Rhinolophus ferrumequinum: one gene and its partner. The protein of the gene in region 1 binds, or shares a complex with, the protein of each later gene. Links are inferred from orthologs where the notes say so. Each region holds a gene or a part of one and is shown on either strand. Other genes may lie near its edges. The genes, in order: CAPN2 and CAPNS1.

Evidence for each region.
Region 2: the proteins of CAPN2 (region 1) and CAPNS1 are in contact, whole or in part, in a crystal structure (PDB 1KFU), measured with the Homo sapiens proteins. The link is inferred for Rhinolophus ferrumequinum from reciprocal best matches to the Homo sapiens genes CAPN2 and CAPNS1. Residues at the interface, in NP_001739.3 of Homo sapiens: Ala2, Gly3, Ile4, Ala5, Lys7, Leu8, Ala9, Arg12, Glu13, Glu16, Phe60, Arg366, Arg416, Arg417, Arg418, Arg420, Asp494, Ile516, Phe551, Glu575, Lys578, Val581, Asp582, Asp585, Gly588, Ser589, Gly590, Gln641, Leu642, Gln644; in NP_001003962.1 of Homo sapiens: Thr85, His86, Ser88, Asp111, Asp112, Met113, Glu114, Ser116, Thr118, Asp142, Arg145, Ser146, Ala149, Val150, Met151, Asp152, Ser153, Asp154, Thr155, Thr156, Gly157, Gly160, Phe161, Glu163, Asn206, His208, Leu209, Met212, Ile213, Arg215.

Annotation. Positions count from the first base shown.
Region 1 is NC_046310.1:12,887,046-12,896,025, reverse strand, and holds the start of CAPN2 (calpain-2 catalytic subunit), read right to left. Parts: upstream 4,217-8,980; 5' UTR 3,985-4,216; coding exon 3,748-3,984; intron 1-3,747. UniProt on the Homo sapiens protein: Calcium-regulated non-lysosomal thiol-protease which catalyzes limited proteolysis of substrates involved in cytoskeletal remodeling and signal transduction. Proteolytically cleaves MYOC at 'Arg-226'.
Region 2 is NC_046298.1:36,387,430-36,396,014, forward strand, and holds the start of CAPNS1 (calpain small subunit 1), read left to right. Parts: upstream 1-4,525; 5' UTR 4,526-4,629; intron 4,630-5,339; 5' UTR 5,340-5,357; coding exon 5,358-5,578; intron 5,579-6,532; coding exon 6,533-6,566; intron 6,567-6,838; coding exon 6,839-6,928; intron 6,929-7,097; coding exon 7,098-7,155; intron 7,156-7,248; coding exon 7,249-7,313; intron 7,314-8,403; coding exon 8,404-8,472; intron 8,473-8,574; coding exon 8,575-8,585. UniProt on the Homo sapiens protein: Regulatory subunit of the calcium-regulated non-lysosomal thiol-protease which catalyzes limited proteolysis of substrates involved in cytoskeletal remodeling and signal transduction. Essential for embryonic development.

The DNA of each region.
Region 1 (8,980 bases):
AACCTTAAACAAATCTGGCCCCTTGGTGAAGCAGCCCTCTCAGCAGAGTGTTTCCTGATTCTGCAGAGCCCCACCCAAAGCCACAGAGGAAGTCGGGGCATCCATCTGGGTTTCTCTAGGCCTGGGCAACCTTGTAGGAGCTCCACCCCACACCCTCGGCGTGCCCCTCTCTGCCAAGCAGAAGTGTTTCCTGGGCGAGACCCGGATCTAGCCCCTGTCCATCCCGGCTTAGGTCGCAGCTCTTCTGGCACCACCACCTGCCCCAAAGCACATTCCTCTCACGCGTCTGCATTGTCTCTTCCCTGCTCAGGCCAGTCTGTTTGGGGGATTTTAGGGACAAAGAAACAACAAGCCAGCTTTTGTTTTGAGGCCTGCCAGCCAAGCACTTATGCAGTGGATGGAACAGGGCTCGGTGCTAGGAGCCCAACACTGATATTGACAATCCTCAGTGTGGCGAGTACTTTCCCCAGAAGGATTTTTCCATTATGTTTCAGAAACTGGGCTGCATCTTTGGTAGCATCTCTGACGGAGGCAAAGTTCATAGTGGCGCTTAGAAATGTTTCAGAAAACTGAACCGTGCTCACAGCATATAGAGTATGGAATTAAGTATGGACGTAACAGGCCGAGGAAAGGGGCTGAGGTCTTGGGCTTAGGACTCAGACCCCTGGGTTTGAGTCTTGGCTCGGCCATTTATTCTATGGGTTCGATGACCCTGCAAGTTCTGTTTCGGCCTCACTTTCCTCATCTGTAAAATGGGGATGGTGATGACAACAGTACCTACCACAGAGGGCTGAATGAGATAACTAAGTAAATGTGCTTTGGTAAACACTATAAAAGTTACTCATGATTTTTATTATCATTCCTATTATTACTGTTTTATAAGAAGTCGATGACAATCATCACTGAACTTGGAGGCAGGAGATGGATGCAGGCTTGAGACTGAGTTCAGCCAGCTGAGGACACGCCAGTCAGAAAGCTCTCTGAGGCTTGGTTATCTCAGGACTCACAGCACTTGTCCTTGCTTGGACTTGACTGGTGCCATCCTTGGGTCGCGCTGGCTTTCTCCTCACGCCCTGCACCAGTGACGTTAGCCATTTCCCCTTCAGTCCCCTTCCCACCCCTGGAGCCTTCTGTGACCAGTGTCGGAAAACCCCCTCTCTGAGGAGGGGCCGTCCCTCCCGATCCAAGGCTGGCCGGCTCTCCTGCCCTTCCGCCTCCTCTACTCTCATTTCCTCAGGCACCCTGTTCCATTACCTCCTCCCAGCCTTTATCGTTAGTCCCTTCCTTTCCAGTGACTCAACATACGACACACTGTCATCTGAAACAACAGCCTCGCAAAGCCCACTCTACCTCCCATATTTCCTCTCTTTCCACAAGGCTCCCTTCTGAAACGACTTGACCATACCCTTCATTGCCAGTTCCTTACTCTGGAGTCTACAGACATCTGGCTTCTACCCCACTGAAATCCTATCCCCCTGCAACCGCTCTGTTAAAGTCGCCATTGATTTGCTCATGTTTGAATCCAGGGGACACATTTTTGTTCCCCTGGCCTGACCCCAACCACAGCGGTGTTTAGAAGGCAGGACGGAGGCAGAGAGGGCCGTCGTGGGCTGTGGGCTCTAAACGCCCATAGGCTGGGCACAGTCCTGGCTCCACCCTGGACATCTGTTTGAGCAAATATTTAATCACCCCAAGCCTCAATTTCTTCACCTGCTGAATGGGAATATAATAGACACCCCCGCTGGTTGTGTAGTGCATGACCTTCCCCACAGTGAAATGGCTCCAGAACTCTCTCCCCCTCTATTGTCCTGAGGCATTTCCAACTATTGGGTGACCTGTCTGTCTCCCTTCACCAGCCCCTAGTGAAACTACATGCATCGCGAGAAGGCAGCGCATGGAGTTTACATACAGTTTTTAATAGTTTAGAGGCAGAAACTGTATGCGCTGGGACTGGCATATACTAGGTGTTCGATATACGCTCATTGAATGAATGAAAGAATAAGTCAATGAGTATGTAAATTCACTTTGTAAACCGTAAAGTGCTATGCAAATGTAGGGTGAGTACATTCTCTTGTGTATCACTTTCACAACTATTTGAGGCTCATTGCAGTACTGCATTCATTCATTCACTCGTTCCACAAATCGTCAGTCTCTTTATTCACACATGCATGTATCCCCCCTGCATCTAAGACAGTGCCTGGCATATACTCGGCCCTCAATAAATATTGTTGAATGAATGAATGCATGCATGCATGAATGCATTCTGTGAAAGGCACTAACGCTGCCAGACGATATATGGGTGGATAATACACACCTGCTCCCCGCCGTTCAGAAGGACAAACAAATCTAGGTAATGGTGAAAAGTTAGAAACTGTGAAAATGCTGTGAAGGAAATTAGCAGGGTTCATAAAGAATAACAAGATGGGGGGGAGGGGCCTGCTGAGAATGGTCAGGAGAGGTAGCTTTGGGAAAGGGACGTTTGACTAAATCCCAAAGAATGAGAGTTAACCAGATTCCAGAAAACCAGGAAAGAACGACCCTGGCAGGTGAGAAGGCAGGAAAGAAAGAATGGTACCTTGGAGAAACTGAAGGTGGCTGAGCCTCGAGAGCCAGTGAAAAGAGGAACATACTTAGGCATCACTTCTTCTTTTAGATGAAGACATGGAAGCAAAGAGGTTAATGGCTCAGGGAGGGTCACCCAGTAGGTCTGCACGAAATGAACTCCAGTGCTCAAGTCCTGGCCAGTGGTACTTGCTATTGCACCTGCTGTTTATGCGCGGGGCTTGGGGTAACAGAGAAGGTGGCTGGGGAGGCTCGCAGGACTGCAAGCAGGTCAGGAATGTTTATTCACAACAGCATCTAGAGGTTGGATTCCCCAGGAAGCCATGTTCAGGTTTGGGAGGGAAGGTCTGGTGAGGTGTCCCACAGGAGGTGGAGCCAGCAGGGGCTCCATGGGAAAGGGATGGCCAACCAGGTTAGGGAAGGAGCTGTCCCAAGACCTGCCAGGGCAAGCGGACAGAGCGGGGGTGGGACCCGGCAGCGAGGAGGGAGCTGAGGTCCCGGGGAGGATTCTGGGCCAGCGCAATGATGAGGGACTGGTCTTTCGCTGTATGTATCTCCCCTGTCCTTGATCACCAGTGTGAATGGTACCGGGAGGTCTTCTGAGCTCCCCTTTCTTAAAATAAACAAGAAACTCGCCTTAACTCTAACCAGGACTGCATAAGACCATCCTTGGTCACCAAATGACCAGTCTGTGGACTTCCCCTCTCTGAAGTCCAGACTGACTTTTCCTGGACCCACGTTGCCTCCCACTCTCCTTTCCTGAAGACCCTCCTCCCCCACCTTCCTCCATCTCTACAATGGAGTCCAGCAAAAACTGTTCCCCAGGCCCCCGTATGTCACCGCAGTTTTTGTGAACTTTACAGGGGGTTACCCTGGCGGGACTGCTAGTGGGTTTTGAGGGCAGTGTCCAGCGAAGTGCCGTGGATGGAAGAGGGAACAGGCGCCCTCTGTGGACGCAGTCCACCCGGGAGCGTACCCGCGCGCCTGCCATGCACCGGGTAACGGGCCAGGCCTGGGGTTGGGCGCGATCGCGCGGCTGAGGGTTGTGGCTGGGGCGGCCGGGTGCGGGCTCGCTCTCCAGGACCCCTTGTCCGGTCCTCCCTGGCCGGGAGCCCTGGGCGGCCACGCCTCGGGGCCCCCACCCGCCCTGCTTCGCATCCCGCCGCGCTTCCTACCGCTTCCTACCGTGGGCCGCTTCCACTGGATGCCCTGGGTCTTGCTGGAGTAGGGTCCCAATTCCTTGAAGCCCAGGGAAGACGGCATGGCGGGGAACGAGGGGTCCTGGAAGAGCGTCCCGGCCTCCAGGCACTGGTCCCGCAGCGTCTCGTAATCCTGGTTGAGGTACTTGATGGCCCTTTCGTGCGAGCCCAGTCCCTCGGCCGCCTCCCTGTCCCTGGCCAGTTTAGCCGCGATGCCCGCCATGGTGCCCGGCTGACCGGCGATCGAGGTACAGGTCTCGGGTACTGCGCACTGCAGGGGCGAGGCTGGGCCCGGCACTCGGCAACCGGACTGCGGGCTCCGCTGCCAGCGATGATTCACCAGCCGGGAAGCGCCCTCCGCCCGCCGGGGTGTGGCCTCGCCGCTCCCGGCCTGCTCGGCGCCGGGCCCGGGACGCAGCCTGCCCGTGCGCGGCCTGCAGAGCGCCCGCGGGAGGGACCGCGAGGCCGCTGCTGCCACCTGCGGACGGCTCTGGGATGGCCCAGCCGGCTGGCCCTGGCCATAGCGGCTCCCGAGTGCAAAAGTTAGCCAAAACTGATAGCCAACTTCCCACCTCCCGGGGATCGGGGATCGAGGACGGGCGAAACCCAGGCTGGGGCAGTGGTGACTCGCCAGGAAACACCCTGTGAGTCAGTAGATCAGGGAGTGAGGTCGAGGAGAGGAAATCAGCTGCCATCGTTTGGGTCTGGACTTCGTGTCCTAACAGCTCTGTATGCGTGATCTCATTTAATCCTCCCAGCAACTCTCTAAGAAGATGGTCCTTCTGCTGTTGTCCCCATTTTACAGATGGAAAAACTGAGCATCAGAGAGGTTCAATGGCATTACCCAATGTCACACAACTAGTCTCAAGCAGAACAAGGGCTCAAAGTCACCAAGGCCTGTTCTAATCAGGATGCTACACTGTTGCTGGTCAGCTATTGGATCATAAAGAGGGGTGACAGACGTGGCAAATAAAAACACGTGCAGTTAAATTGGAATTTCAACAGACACCAATAGTTCTTTTAGTGTCAGTGTGGCGAGAAGAAGAAACTTTCCTTTGTTCCACTGATCTAATAATTACATCAACATGAGACAGATTAACAAGAGAAAATAGTCAAATTTAATTACATACCTAATCGTACATATGGAAACCCCACATACATAAGGGAGTCAGACACCCCACATACACAAGAGGTTCCGAGTCAGAAAAGTAAAATGGGTTTACATGGCATTCAGAGCTAAGGATGAAGTCAGGTGCCTGGGGTGTCAGAGGGGAGGGAGTCATTCTCAGAGCGATGGAAAAGCAGAGGGTCAGTAATTAGACGTTTGCCCTGCCCTGCAGATAAGTCAAACAAGTTGATTGATAATCTCTTAGGACGAGCAAAGCCCCTAACTTAAATTCTTTATGGGGGAGGTCAAAGTTTCTCGTGAGCCCCAGGGTCTCCGTTGTCTTCAGCTCAAAATAATCCACATGCCAAAGTGGCCCGTCTTGGGGAGGCGTGTTCTGAACCCCTTCAGTAAATATGTCTCAAATACTGCAGGGGGCCATACTTGTACTGGAAAATTAGTTGTTTATCTGAAACTCACTTTTAACTGGGAGGATTGAGTCAATATCGGTAGAGTGCGTAGACCAGTTATCTGTATTCAGGCCACCGTGAGCACTCTGCTGAGAGGTAGCAAGAGAGTTTCAGCTCACACAGAGAAGTGGGTGTGTGCCTAGGAGTGCATGGTTTCCTCCTCTCCTTTCCTACACTCATAGAAGAATGTGTGTTTCAATGGAAAACTACAGTTTTTAACTGGAAGCAAATTTGTCCTCTTTACCCTTCGTCAGGGGACATTTGGCAAGGTCTGCAGACTTTATTGTCATGACTGGGGGATGCTGTGCTACTGGCCTTTCTTGGGTAGAAGCCAGGGATTCTGCTAAACATCTTAATAATGATGCCCAGAACAGCTCCCCACAAGAATTATCTGGTCCAAAACATCCATAATGCTGAGGCTGAGAACCCCTAGCTTAGAGCACCTCTTTCCAGGCCATCTGATTCTAGCCTGTCATTGTTTTTGAGTTATTTTACAACCCTAAGTTGCAGATAATGGTAGCAATGCAAAATAATTTTTCTGTAAGCATGCCAATTAATTCTGTCCAGCAGAGAGACGTCTCACCCCATTGGAGAAGACAGACGAACAGACGAGTCCATTTCAGTGTTCTTTACCTCATGTAAATGTGTGCTTCTTTGATTTCTCCTTTGAACCAATGATAACATCTGCCTAGTTGCCTGCTTCAATTAATGAGTTAAATGAAATCTTGAAAACATATTAATTTTATATCTGTATGAGAGTCATGATTTTACCTTTTCTCAAAATCACCTTTGAGCCTAAGGGAGAAAGACCAGATAATGCTCTGTGAAGAAAGTGGCATGTAACTTGGTCTGGAAGGATAGTTTGAGATTTGAATATTCAGGATTTTTCTGTGAAACAACAACCTGTCAGGAAAAAAGTCTTTGGAATTGAAAAAAAAAAAAAAATTCCTGGGTGTCCTGTGGAATGCTGGGTGACTCCTTTCAGGGGATCATGTCCGTAGTGGTCTGTACCTTTTACAGTCTTCAGACTATTTTACAGCTCTGTAAGCTGTAGAAAATTGAGAGTAATGCAAATAATTCTTGTCCGTGTGTATGCACATCAATATCCTCAGGTGGAAGTGCAATCAGTTTTGCATCTATTAACAAGTTTATATTCTTTGAACTGTTTTTTTAAACGCCTACTGGTTGCCTAATCCACTCATAAGTTAAGTAAAATCTTTGACCTATGTTCATTTTGTATTTGTATGAGAGTCCTTCTTTTACCCTTTTAAGACAGTATTTTTAAATGTATTAGGGTGACACTGGTTAATAACGTTATATAAATTTCAGGTGTACGAGTTTATAATACGACATCTGTACACCCTACTGTGTGCAGACGCTATGTGGACAGGCTCTGTGCCTTAGCATTTGTTATGTCACGTGCACATCACAGGCTCTTAACGGATGATGGAGAAATAAATAAAAAGGGTGAGAAGTGTTTGAAGAAAATAGAGGCACTTGGTTTGCATAAGTGAGAATATTGAGCCCTTGATGCTAACCCCATTAAAAAAAAAAATTTCTGTTTGATTTTGAGACACTTGCCTGTTTCCGAGACTTGGAGAGGAAAGAGGGGTGCTGTAATAAATCATAAATTCCTAACTGGGCAGGTCTCAGTGGGTAGTCAGGCCCCAGGCCTATACCTTCTTAGTGAAAAGTTTTAAGGAAGCCCTGTTCATTGTTGTGTAGCTAGATTAGCACCTAACTTTGAAATGCCAGAAATAACACCCTTTGAAGTCATAATTGCCCTTAAGAAAGCACATAACCTTGTGATCCAATCCCTGCCTTGTCCTCGCTTTCTCCCACCTGCACGTCATCTTCCTTATATTCCCTTCTTAATTTCAAACACATAAAAGAAGCTGCAAACTGTTATTCTCCAGAGCATTTGAGATCTTGCTCCTCGGCCTATGTTGTCAGTTTTGGCTCAGATAAACTCTTATAAAAATTCTCTACAGGTTTCCATGTTTCTTGCATCAACAGACTGCAGAAGTCTCTCTGTGGAGAACTAGAGTTCTCCCTATTGCAGTCGTCTTTCTTTCTCCTTAAAGTCTTCCCTGCCTAAGTCTGGCTGTGTTTTTATTTGACATCCTCCACTTCCAGTTTGCACGTTGCCTGATGGAGAGGTGTCACTGCTGGCCACCAGGCTCTGCTTTCTGTACCCTCAGATGACATGGGGTACATAGGCATTCATTTCTAGCTTGAAGGTTTCTGGTGCAAAGGTTTTATGAAACCATCAGAATCGAAAACAGAGGAAAGAGACAGCCCTTCCTGGAAGCTGTTGATTTGTTTCACTCTTCGATTTCCTTTGGGCCCACCGGGATTTCTTCCAGGGTCTGGGCTCTGGGGAGGAAGCTTGTGTACCTGCCCCGTATGGCAGAGCAGCTGGGAATACTCAGACTTCTTCTCCTGCCAATGTCCTGGAAGACATTCATCCCTGGGGGGAAGTGCCTCCTCCCAGGTGTCTGGGCTTTCCCTCCAGAGTCCTCTAAGCAACAGAGGACCGGGCATACCAGCCCTAGTGTCACAGGCCAATCAGGAACTCCATGCAGCCCTGGGACACAAGAGCCTCCTGGCTCACCCAGGACTGTCTCTCCCCGGCCAGGGAACACCTCTTCGAGGCGGCGGTAGCCACTGACCCACCAGCCTTCTGTGCACACAGGATTAGGCTTTCAAAGGCCCATAGCTGTCCTGAGCGACTCAAATTTACTTCCAGCCGCACACAATGACTATTGCCCTCACCAGTGGACAGGGGCCAGTTTTTAAACCTGCTTAAACATGTTCTTTATACTTTTCAAAGCTTCTCACACAATGCTATCTCACTGGGTCCCACATCTCATCTTTCTTTGACCACACGATGTCTTTCACATTAGCACACAGGCGGGCGCAGACAGACACACACACCGTGGGCCTCACCCTTCACGGTGGGGAACCTTCCTGGAGTGAGTCCCCAGCCCTGAGGGCAGTGGGTGAGTCAGAAGCAGCTGAGATTACCCAAAGCTGCCTCAGTGTGCCAGAGCCCAGTGTGCCAGCAGGTGTGTGTGTGTGTGTGTGAGAGAGAGAGAGAGAGAGAGAGAGAGAGAGAGAGAGAATGTGTGTCTCAGAGGACCACTACAAGGCAATCTCTTTTTGTAGCATTTTCCTTGATTGTTTTTTCCAAGTGAAAAGAAGAGAAAATAAAACATCTAGGCCACACCACCTCCACGGCCCTGGATGTTTGTGAGGTGTCAGAGGCACGACCTTCAGCTTCTAGAGGTGCTATTTGAAGCCACCCTTAGAATGGAGCACCCCCATGTCCGGGCACTGAGCTCCTCTCTTTACGCACATTTCATCATCCTCATCATTGGTCACAAGAGATCTTATTTCCCCATTTGTAGATGAGAAAACGGAGGCCCAGCCACGTGGCTGTGAAGGGTCGCAGCGTACCTGGCCCTCACGCCCTAGACCACAAGCCTGTGGGTCTCTTTTCCCAGCTTAGGAGGGTGAAGGGGGTGGCTGGGGGCCTGCTTTGTCACTGGGGCTGAGGCTGAGGGAAAGCCAGGTTTTTCTTCTCCTCCCTCGTTCAGGTCTGTGATCTGACTTCAGAGGGACCAGAGAGAATATCAATTCCA
Region 2 (8,585 bases), on another chromosome or scaffold:
CTACAGTCCAATGTAAGTCAGTGGGGTCACTCTGCTCCACAGAGTCTAGCAGAGACCCAGGCTCCTTCCATGTTGTGGCTCTGCCCACCTCTAGGTCCTCAGAGTCCCCTCTGTTGAGCCCATGGATGTTGAAAAAAGTGAAGACCACTTGTGGGAGGTTTTTAAGGTCAAGCCTGGAGACTGGATATGACACATCAGCTCACATGCCGTTGGCCTTAAGTCGGTTACATATCCATACAAAATTGCAATAGATGACGGGAAATGTAATTCTTGTGTGGAAGAAAAAAGGGGAGCAGTTTTAGTCAAGCAATTAGCCAATCTCTGCCACATATTTTGGGACATGCTTTATCTGAAAATAGAGAAGGGTTACATTGTTTATTTATTTCCTTGTTTATTGTGTGTCTTCCTCTGCTAGGACATAAGCCCCGGGAGTTTTGTTCACCACTACATCCCCATCACACATCTGGGCGCCTGGATTTAGTAGGCACTCAATAAATGTGTGTTGAATGAATGAATGAATGAATGAAAAAAATTCTAGTAACTTTCAGAGGATGGAATATTATGAAAACACAAAAAATTATATTTTTAGGGACATGGGAAATTGCTCTCAGGGTGTATACGAGTATAATAAATCTCTTTCTTTCTCTCCCTATGGCCTGTTAGTTCTTTCTCTGGAGAACCCTGACTAATACACCATTGAAGGGAGGGCAGAGGAGGTACAGTAATCTGGAATAGTCATCACATAACTATTTGGCATCAACCATGCTTGGGTTTAGACCTGGCTCTGCCATGCCGCAGGCAAATGACTCCACCTCTCTGAACCTCCACTTCCTCTCATGTTAGTTCCTTTTTCAGAAGGTTGTGAGAGGCCTTCCAAGACGTACCTGTAAATTACTTATTCTAATCTGGTCCCATCAAGCCCTCAGGAGGCATTAGTTAGGACAGTCATGACTATTGTGAGTTTCCTACTTGGTAGCATTGTAACATTAATATAATTGAGGCAGCAAATTGTGAGGATTAAAAGCATGAGCTACAAAGCCAGCTTTCCTGGGTCTGAATCTTGACTCTAGTATTTATTAGCTGTGTAATCTTGGACAAGTAATTCCATTTTTCTGGTTTCCTCATGGACATCATAACAACATCTACTTGCAACAGTCAGAATAGGCTAGGTTACACTGTGGTAACAAATGAGCCCTAGATCTTAGTGGACTAACACCTCAAAATTTATTTCTTGCTCACAGAAACAGGCACAAGTCCTCCATGCCATGGCTCCGTGATCCGGGTAGCTTCCTTTGTGCAGCAGCTCTGTGTTTGCATAGCTCTCCCAAGGTTGCCTAGGAAGGAGGTAAGAGCCCGGAGCATCCTGCACTGGCTTTAAATGCTACACTGGGAAGTGACACTTCCAACATTTCCACTCACATTTCATTGGTCAAAACAAGTCACATAACCATGCCTGAGTTTAAAGGAGTCCGGAAGATGGTGGAAGACTTTAGTAATGCTTGCTGTACTATCTCATTGACGGTGCTGAAAATTCAATGAGAAAATCCACACAAAGTATTTCATACATTCAACAAATACCTATGTACCTAAGATGTTCTGGGCACTGTTCTGGGAACTGGGTACATAGCTGTGAACAAGACATACAGAAATCCCTGCCCTTGAAGAGCTCACATTCTAGTGGGGGAGAGAGACAAGAAACTAGGTAAATAAGTAAACCACTCAGTACGTTAGCAGGTGATAAAGAGCAGTGTGGAGTGGGATAGGGAGTGTGGGGCTTCCTGAGGTCACTAGATGTGCATACTTGAGGCACTGAGGTGGGGCTAGAGAGGGCCTTGGTAATGGAGTAGCGGCCCCCTGCTTAGACATTGATGTGCTGGCAGAGCCTCCTCCTCTGTGTCTTGTCCGTGTTCAGCTGGGAACATCCAGGTCAAGCTGCCAGTAGGGCTTCTTCCCACTTTCTTAAGAGGGAGGAGATGAGGGCAGAGAGGAGACAGAACAGAGCACTAGAGACTTGGTGCCCATGGTGAGGCCTTTGACTCTTATCTGGAGTGAGGTGCAGTCTAGGAAGGGCTATGAGCCAGGTGGGCCCTGACCTGACACGGGTTCACATGCTCCCTTTGGTTGCCTGTGGGGAGCAGACTGTGGGGACAGGGATGTGAGCAGGAGACTGGGGAGGAGGTGCCCGTGAGGTCCAGGAGGCAGAGGATGGAGGTGGGGGTTGGGGAGGAGTGGAGGAGGAGAAGAGTTTAGATTATGTAGGTAGAGTCGAAGAGGTTTGCTGATGGGTTGGAGTGGGTGTGAAAGAGGTCAAGGATGACCCTGGGGTGTTTGGTCTCAGCCACTGGAAGGACAGAGATGCCATTAACCTAGGTGGGGAAGGTGGGGAGGAAGCAGGTTTGGGAGGAAGGTCAGGAGCTGTTTAGGATGTGTGAAACCTGAGGCACCTCTAAGACCCCTATACAGACGGTGAGTAGGATGCAAGATATAGGAGGTTGGAGACGCCTGGGCTGAAGATAGAAATTTGGGTATTGATAGCCTAGGGATGGAATTTAAGCTACGCATGTGAGGGAGATCCTCTATGGCTTCAGTGGGTTAGAGAGGTGGACCAAGGCCTAAGACCTGGAGTTGGCCAGGGTTAAAGGTCGGGGACACAGACCTGGACCACAATATGATTGTAATTGGCAGTGAGTGCTAAGAGAAAGAACAAGTTACAAGCATGTAACTGGACGCCACACCTACTCTCAGATGGGGGTGGAGACAGGGAGGGCTTCCCAGGAGAGGTAACACCTCAGCTGACACCCAAAGCCTGAGGAGATACAAAACCAGGTGAAAAAGGGAGAAAGTGTTCCAGGTAGATGGCACAGTCCATATTGAAGGCCTGGCAGCAAGTGAGCCCTGGAGAGGGCAGAGAACAGAAGCTGCTCAGTCTGGCAGGGAAGGGTGTGGTGAGACGGGAATCTGGATTAGTCATCACCAAGAGTTTTGGCATGAGCCAAGCCTAGCTTCAGACCTGGTCATGACACCCTCTGTGACCTCAGGCAAGTGACCCTGCCTTCAGAGCCTCCATTTTCTCTCCTATTAGTTCCTGCCTCATAGACAAGGCTTGTGTAGGAGTTCCTTGACCTGGCCCCAGCAAGCCCTCAGGAAGTATTAGCTGTTGACTGTGGGTTTTGTCTATTTTGATCTTATCTGAGCTATTTTCATATTAATTATATTATTGAAGAATCAGTTCATTAGGGTAGTGGTTACCAGTACGAGCTAGGGAGTTTAACTTCAGAGGTAGTTTACTTATTTGTAAAATGGAGAGTGTGTAGCATCCATCCCATAAAAGTTATGAGGATATATGAGCTGATACATGTAAAGTGGTTAGGAGAGTGCGTGGCAGTTATTTTTATCAGTATTATCTAAGGATGAGCAAGAGTCAACCAACTGAGGAATCCAGGTGAGCAGGAGGGAAGAGCGTGGTTACAGACACAGGATAAGAGCTACTATTTACTAAGCTTTAATCACTTAATTATGATAGGGGCCTTGTGAGGGGGCCATGGGAAAACTTGTTCCCATTTTACAGATTAGAAGATCTTTGCGTAGAGACTTCAAATCACTTTTTCGTATTTCAGTTATTAGGGAGCAGAAGCAGGATTCAAACAAGCCTAGCCAGCCTCCAGGGGAGAGGCTAATGGCCAGATGGCCAGACTGCCCAGTAGCTAGATTTAGCTCCTTCTGAAGAGCCCTGAAAAAGTACTGGATGTGCACAGGTTGGAGTCTGGAACCGGAGAGCAACAGAAAGGATTCTAAAGGCAGGTTGAGTTACCACTTTCCCTACGTTTCTTCATTTCGCGCCCATCACCCGACTTTGGGAAGGGTAGCCTGGGACACCAGGTCTTGGCCGACACTCTTCCTATGTCCGGGCTCCACTTTAGAGACTGAGGTGACACTTTGGGCCTCTTCAGGAAAAATTATTCTGGTGACCCTGACTTGGGGGTGAAGGAATGCGGGTGGAGGGCACAAGGCCGCTTTCTTAGGCGGCGAAGTCCTACCCGCAGTCTGACTACCATCCTGGCTACTACAAGGTCCGGGAAAAGCTAGTCTACCCTTAGTCATTGCCAGATGCGGATGCTTGTTCCCGGACTGTGAGCCAAATAAAACTCGGGGTCTTAGGATGTTGTCTGTCGCAACAAGGCCAGGATAGGGGCCGGGTGCCAAGAGTCCCGTTTCGAGCCGACAGAAAATCACATCTGTAGCCGGGTGGAGGCCGGCTTCGGGGCGACCATTCCCATTACAACCTGCGGTGTCACTCTGGAGTTCTCGTCCCCGGGTGTCTTCACCGGGCTGGCGAGATGTAGGGACAACCTCAGACCTATGAAGTCACGGCCGGGATACAGCCCGCGGCGCCGGAAGAATGCTGGGCTGGGCCCGGGCGGTCTCATCCCGTTAGCAAGGCCGGGCCCGCGCGCGCAGGCGCAGTTTCAAGGACCGCGCTAGGACCGCGCGGATGCTGTCTGGGCGGCCCCCGAGAGCCTAACCCGGTCAAAGTCGCCTGAGTCACGGGCCCCGCCCTACCAAGCCGGACACAGCCAGAGGCCCGGGAGCAGCGCAGAGGAGCGGACCAGCGGACGTGTAAGACAGGCGGTGAGCGCCCGGGCCAGACCCCCCTGTACTCCGTAATCCCGGCCTTTACGGCTCCCAGACCCTACAAGACCCTAAAGTCCCGGCTAGATCCGTGCTCCCAGTTCTAATGGAGAACCCCGTTATCCCGGGCCCGGGGCTTACACCCACCATCTTGGACCGGAGCCCACAGACCCGGCGGTGACACTGTAATCCCGCTGCTGGGAGTACCTAAACCTTCAAACCCACATCCTGGATTTCCCAAACCTTGTCCCGGGGGCCTCCAGGCCGAGAATCTGATCCACGCCCCTGAACCGCCCAAGACCCTTAGTTCAGTTCTTGGGCTCTGGGACTCAGATTTGGGCGTCCAGACACGTCCAGGATGCCTTATACCAACTTGGGACCCCCGAGAACCCAACCAGACCTGGACCCCTACCCTTAATGATGCCTATGTGTAGACTCAATCCAGGCCTCTCAAGTCTGACCGGGACCCTTTCAGTCTGGAGGAGGTTTCATACTTGATCCTCTGTCCCTATCGCACCCACCCGAGAACTGCTCTCCTTCAGAAGCCCAGACCCCATCCCGAATGGACTCTTCAAGCCCCAGCCGGAAGATTGGTCCTCCCCTAGAGGCCTCATATTACTGCCTACGTCCAGCTGCCAGAAATGCGTATTTTTGTGGGGAGGGGGCGGGCTCTGGGCGAGGAGGCCAGCTGACCCCTTTTTCCTCCTTAGGAACTTTGAGTCGTAGCCATGTTCCTGGTTAACTCGTTCTTGAAAGGCGGCGGTGGAGGGGGAGGCGGAGGCCTGGGCGGGGGCCTGGGGAATGTACTCGGAGGCCTGATCAGCGGGGCCGGAGGCGGCGGCGGAGGCGGTGGCGGCGGCGGCGGCGGCGGCATCGGCGGCATCGGCGGCGGCGGCGGCGGTGGTGGAACTGCCATGCGCATCCTGGGCGGGGTCATTAGCGCCATCAGGTAGGGCGGGGCCTGAGGGGGCGGGGTCTGGCGGAGGAGGCTTGTCCGGGAAGAATAGAATGGGGTAACCTGGAGATTGACCTGGAGCCTTAATTAGGCTGGGCGGGACCTGGGCTGGGAGGCCAGCCTTGAGGGGGCGGGCCCTAATGAGGCTGACCGCAGTTTATGAGGGCGGGGCTTGACATGATTTTTAGGGAGACGCGATTGACTGTTGATGGGTCCCGGCAGGGGTTTAGGAGGTGGGGCTTAGGGAGGCTGGATATCGCCTGCTTCCGCTAATCTGGAAACGAACGTTAAGGGGGCGGAGCCAGTGAGGCTGGGTGTCACTTCGTGGGGGCAAGGCTTGTCAAGTGGGCTTGGTGTGGACTTTTAAGTGGATAAATGAGAAGTTGCGCCCTGAAGAGGCCGAGGCCTACTGAGATAGGAGAAACGGTTTTGAAGGGGCACGGCATTACCGGAAACTGGCTGGATTAAAATAGAAAAATGTCGTAGTGGAAGTAGGGCAGGTTGTCTAATTCGCCTAATTAGGGACCTAATTAGTCTTGGCCACTGAGCAGTGATCCCTCGAAGGGGCAGGAAATAATGGGGCTGGGGTGGGATGTTGGGAAGACACAAGCATTCAGGAAGCCCTAGGGATGGAGTAGGTTCCTAGACAGACATGGAACCTGAGGAGGGCGGGGCCCCGCGAAGCTGGGGCAGCTTTTATAGAGTACGCCCTTCAGGGGGCTGGGTCTATTGAGGAATCTTGGTAGGAGTGGAGCCCACCGTAGGGGGCTGAGCCTGTTAGTTTCCTCGCAGGTGCAATCAGGGCAGCAAGGATAGGGACACGTGAGGACAAGGACAGATAAGGCAGGCCAAGGGTGGCAGGCTGGGGTTTGGGGAGGTTGAGGTGTGGGGGCTGGCGCTGCCAGTTGGACGCCCCGCCCCCTGGCGCTAATTCCCGTTTCCCTCCAGCGAGGCGGCTGCGCAGTACAACCCAGAGCCCCCGGTAAGCCGACCTCCACAACTGATGACTTCTCACTAAGAGGCCTTTTCCAGCATCCCTCCATGTCCCTTTAGAAAAGCCCCTCTCCCTCTTATGATATCCCTCTTACTAAGTCTCTCCCTTTCCATGTCCTCAAACTTAGCTATTACCTACTCCCTGTTCACTGACCACCTCTCATTCCTTTGATCACTCAGCTACACTGCCCACTCTGACTTTCCCACCTAGGCCTGTACTGCCCCTCCCCTTACTTGCTCTGAGATCTTCTCCCTCTGTAGCCCCCACGAACCCATTACTCCAATGTCGAGGCCAATGAGAGTGAGGAAGTCCGGCAGTTCCGGAGGCTATTTGCCCAGCTGGCTGGAGAGGTAAGTAACCCGGGGTCCCCAGACCTGTCCTAACCCTTCCATGCCTTCCCTTGGATGGCCCTTGCACATACACACTCAACCATGGCAATCCAAAAGTTCCTATCCTCCTTCATGACACTCCTAGACCCCTTTCAGTCACCCCTGATCTACCCCTAATTTCTCCCTGCAGGACATGGAGGTCAGCGCCACAGAACTCATGAACATTCTCAACAAGGTCGTGACCCGACGTGAGTGACTAGGGTCAACCCATAGGGCAGGTTTAGAGGCATGGCAGCTGGGGTAGCTGTGACCTCTGGCCTCTGTCAACCTGTCCCCTACAGACCCAGATCTGAAGACTGATGGTTTTGGCATTGACACATGTCGCAGCATGGTGGCCGTGATGGATGTATCCTTAAGGGCAGTATGGGAGAGGCCTTGTGTGAAGAGGGAGTTTTCTGCGAGCATGAGTGGGAGCCAGGATGTAGCTTTCATAAAAAGTGGAAGGATAGGAATTTGGATTCAGGTCTTCGGGGCTTAAGAACCCAAGCTTATTATAACTGCCATAGGTATGTGCACATGCGTATGTGTGCCAGGGTACACCCATATGCGTGAAGATATATGCACAGGAAAATATGTCTATTTGCACATGGGCCAGTCATTAGCTAATCTTGGATACATGCGCACTGAGCACATAAGGCAGTGCAGACATACGTACATATATTCATGTCATGTGATCACGTACGTGTGCGGCATAGTTAAATAATGGCTCTGCCCCTTAGCAAGGTTACTGAGCCTCTCTGTGCTTCAATTTGCCTATCTGTATAATGGGGTGAGTGATAATGTGTTAGATGTTACTATGATCTTACACAAGTAGACTCTTCAGCTCTGAATGTTTCTGTCTCTGACTGGAGAATAATATTGGTGGGGCTGGTGTCTTGAGGACTTAGTGAGAAAAGTTACGTTCTTGAGAAGCTTAGTATTCTCTGGTGTGTACTACGTAATCTGTTAAGTCTTGGCCACTGTTGTTGTTGATTGAGAACTAATCAAATGCCAGCCCCTGAGCTAAGGGCTTTCTGCCAATATCTCATTCTGCTCTGATCACAAACCCAGTAGGTATTCACTACCGTCACCTCATTTCCTTAGAGCTCTGAGATGTCCTTGTTTTTTTACATGTCCTAACATTTAGGAAATTGAATTACTATCATGAATTTTATAAATGAGGAATTAGCAACTATTTTCAGGTGAGGAATTTGTAGCTTAGAAAAGTTCATTATAATTCCACATGGTTATGTTGAAAGATTCCTTATCATTTAGGAATATAAAGTAAAATATGTATGGATAAAATGAGAAAGCCACACCCACGGTGACATGAGGAGGGTGAGATAGGAGCTGGGGTTTTAGCCCAGGTTCCCCTGATTGGCTGTTATCATTGTTGTGTACACAGGGTGTACAATGCATGCATTTGGGTACAGCTATTCTTAACACCGTTCTACCAGAGTGACACGACAGGAAAGCTGGGTTTTGAGGAATTCAAGTATTTGTGGAACAACATCAAAAAGTGGCAGGTGTGTGGTGACCTCTGAAACTCCCAGCACAAAGACTTCCAAGCCATGAAGATGCCATGACCCAAGATGCTCAAATGAACCCCAACCTCTCTGTCCCCACAGGCCATATACAA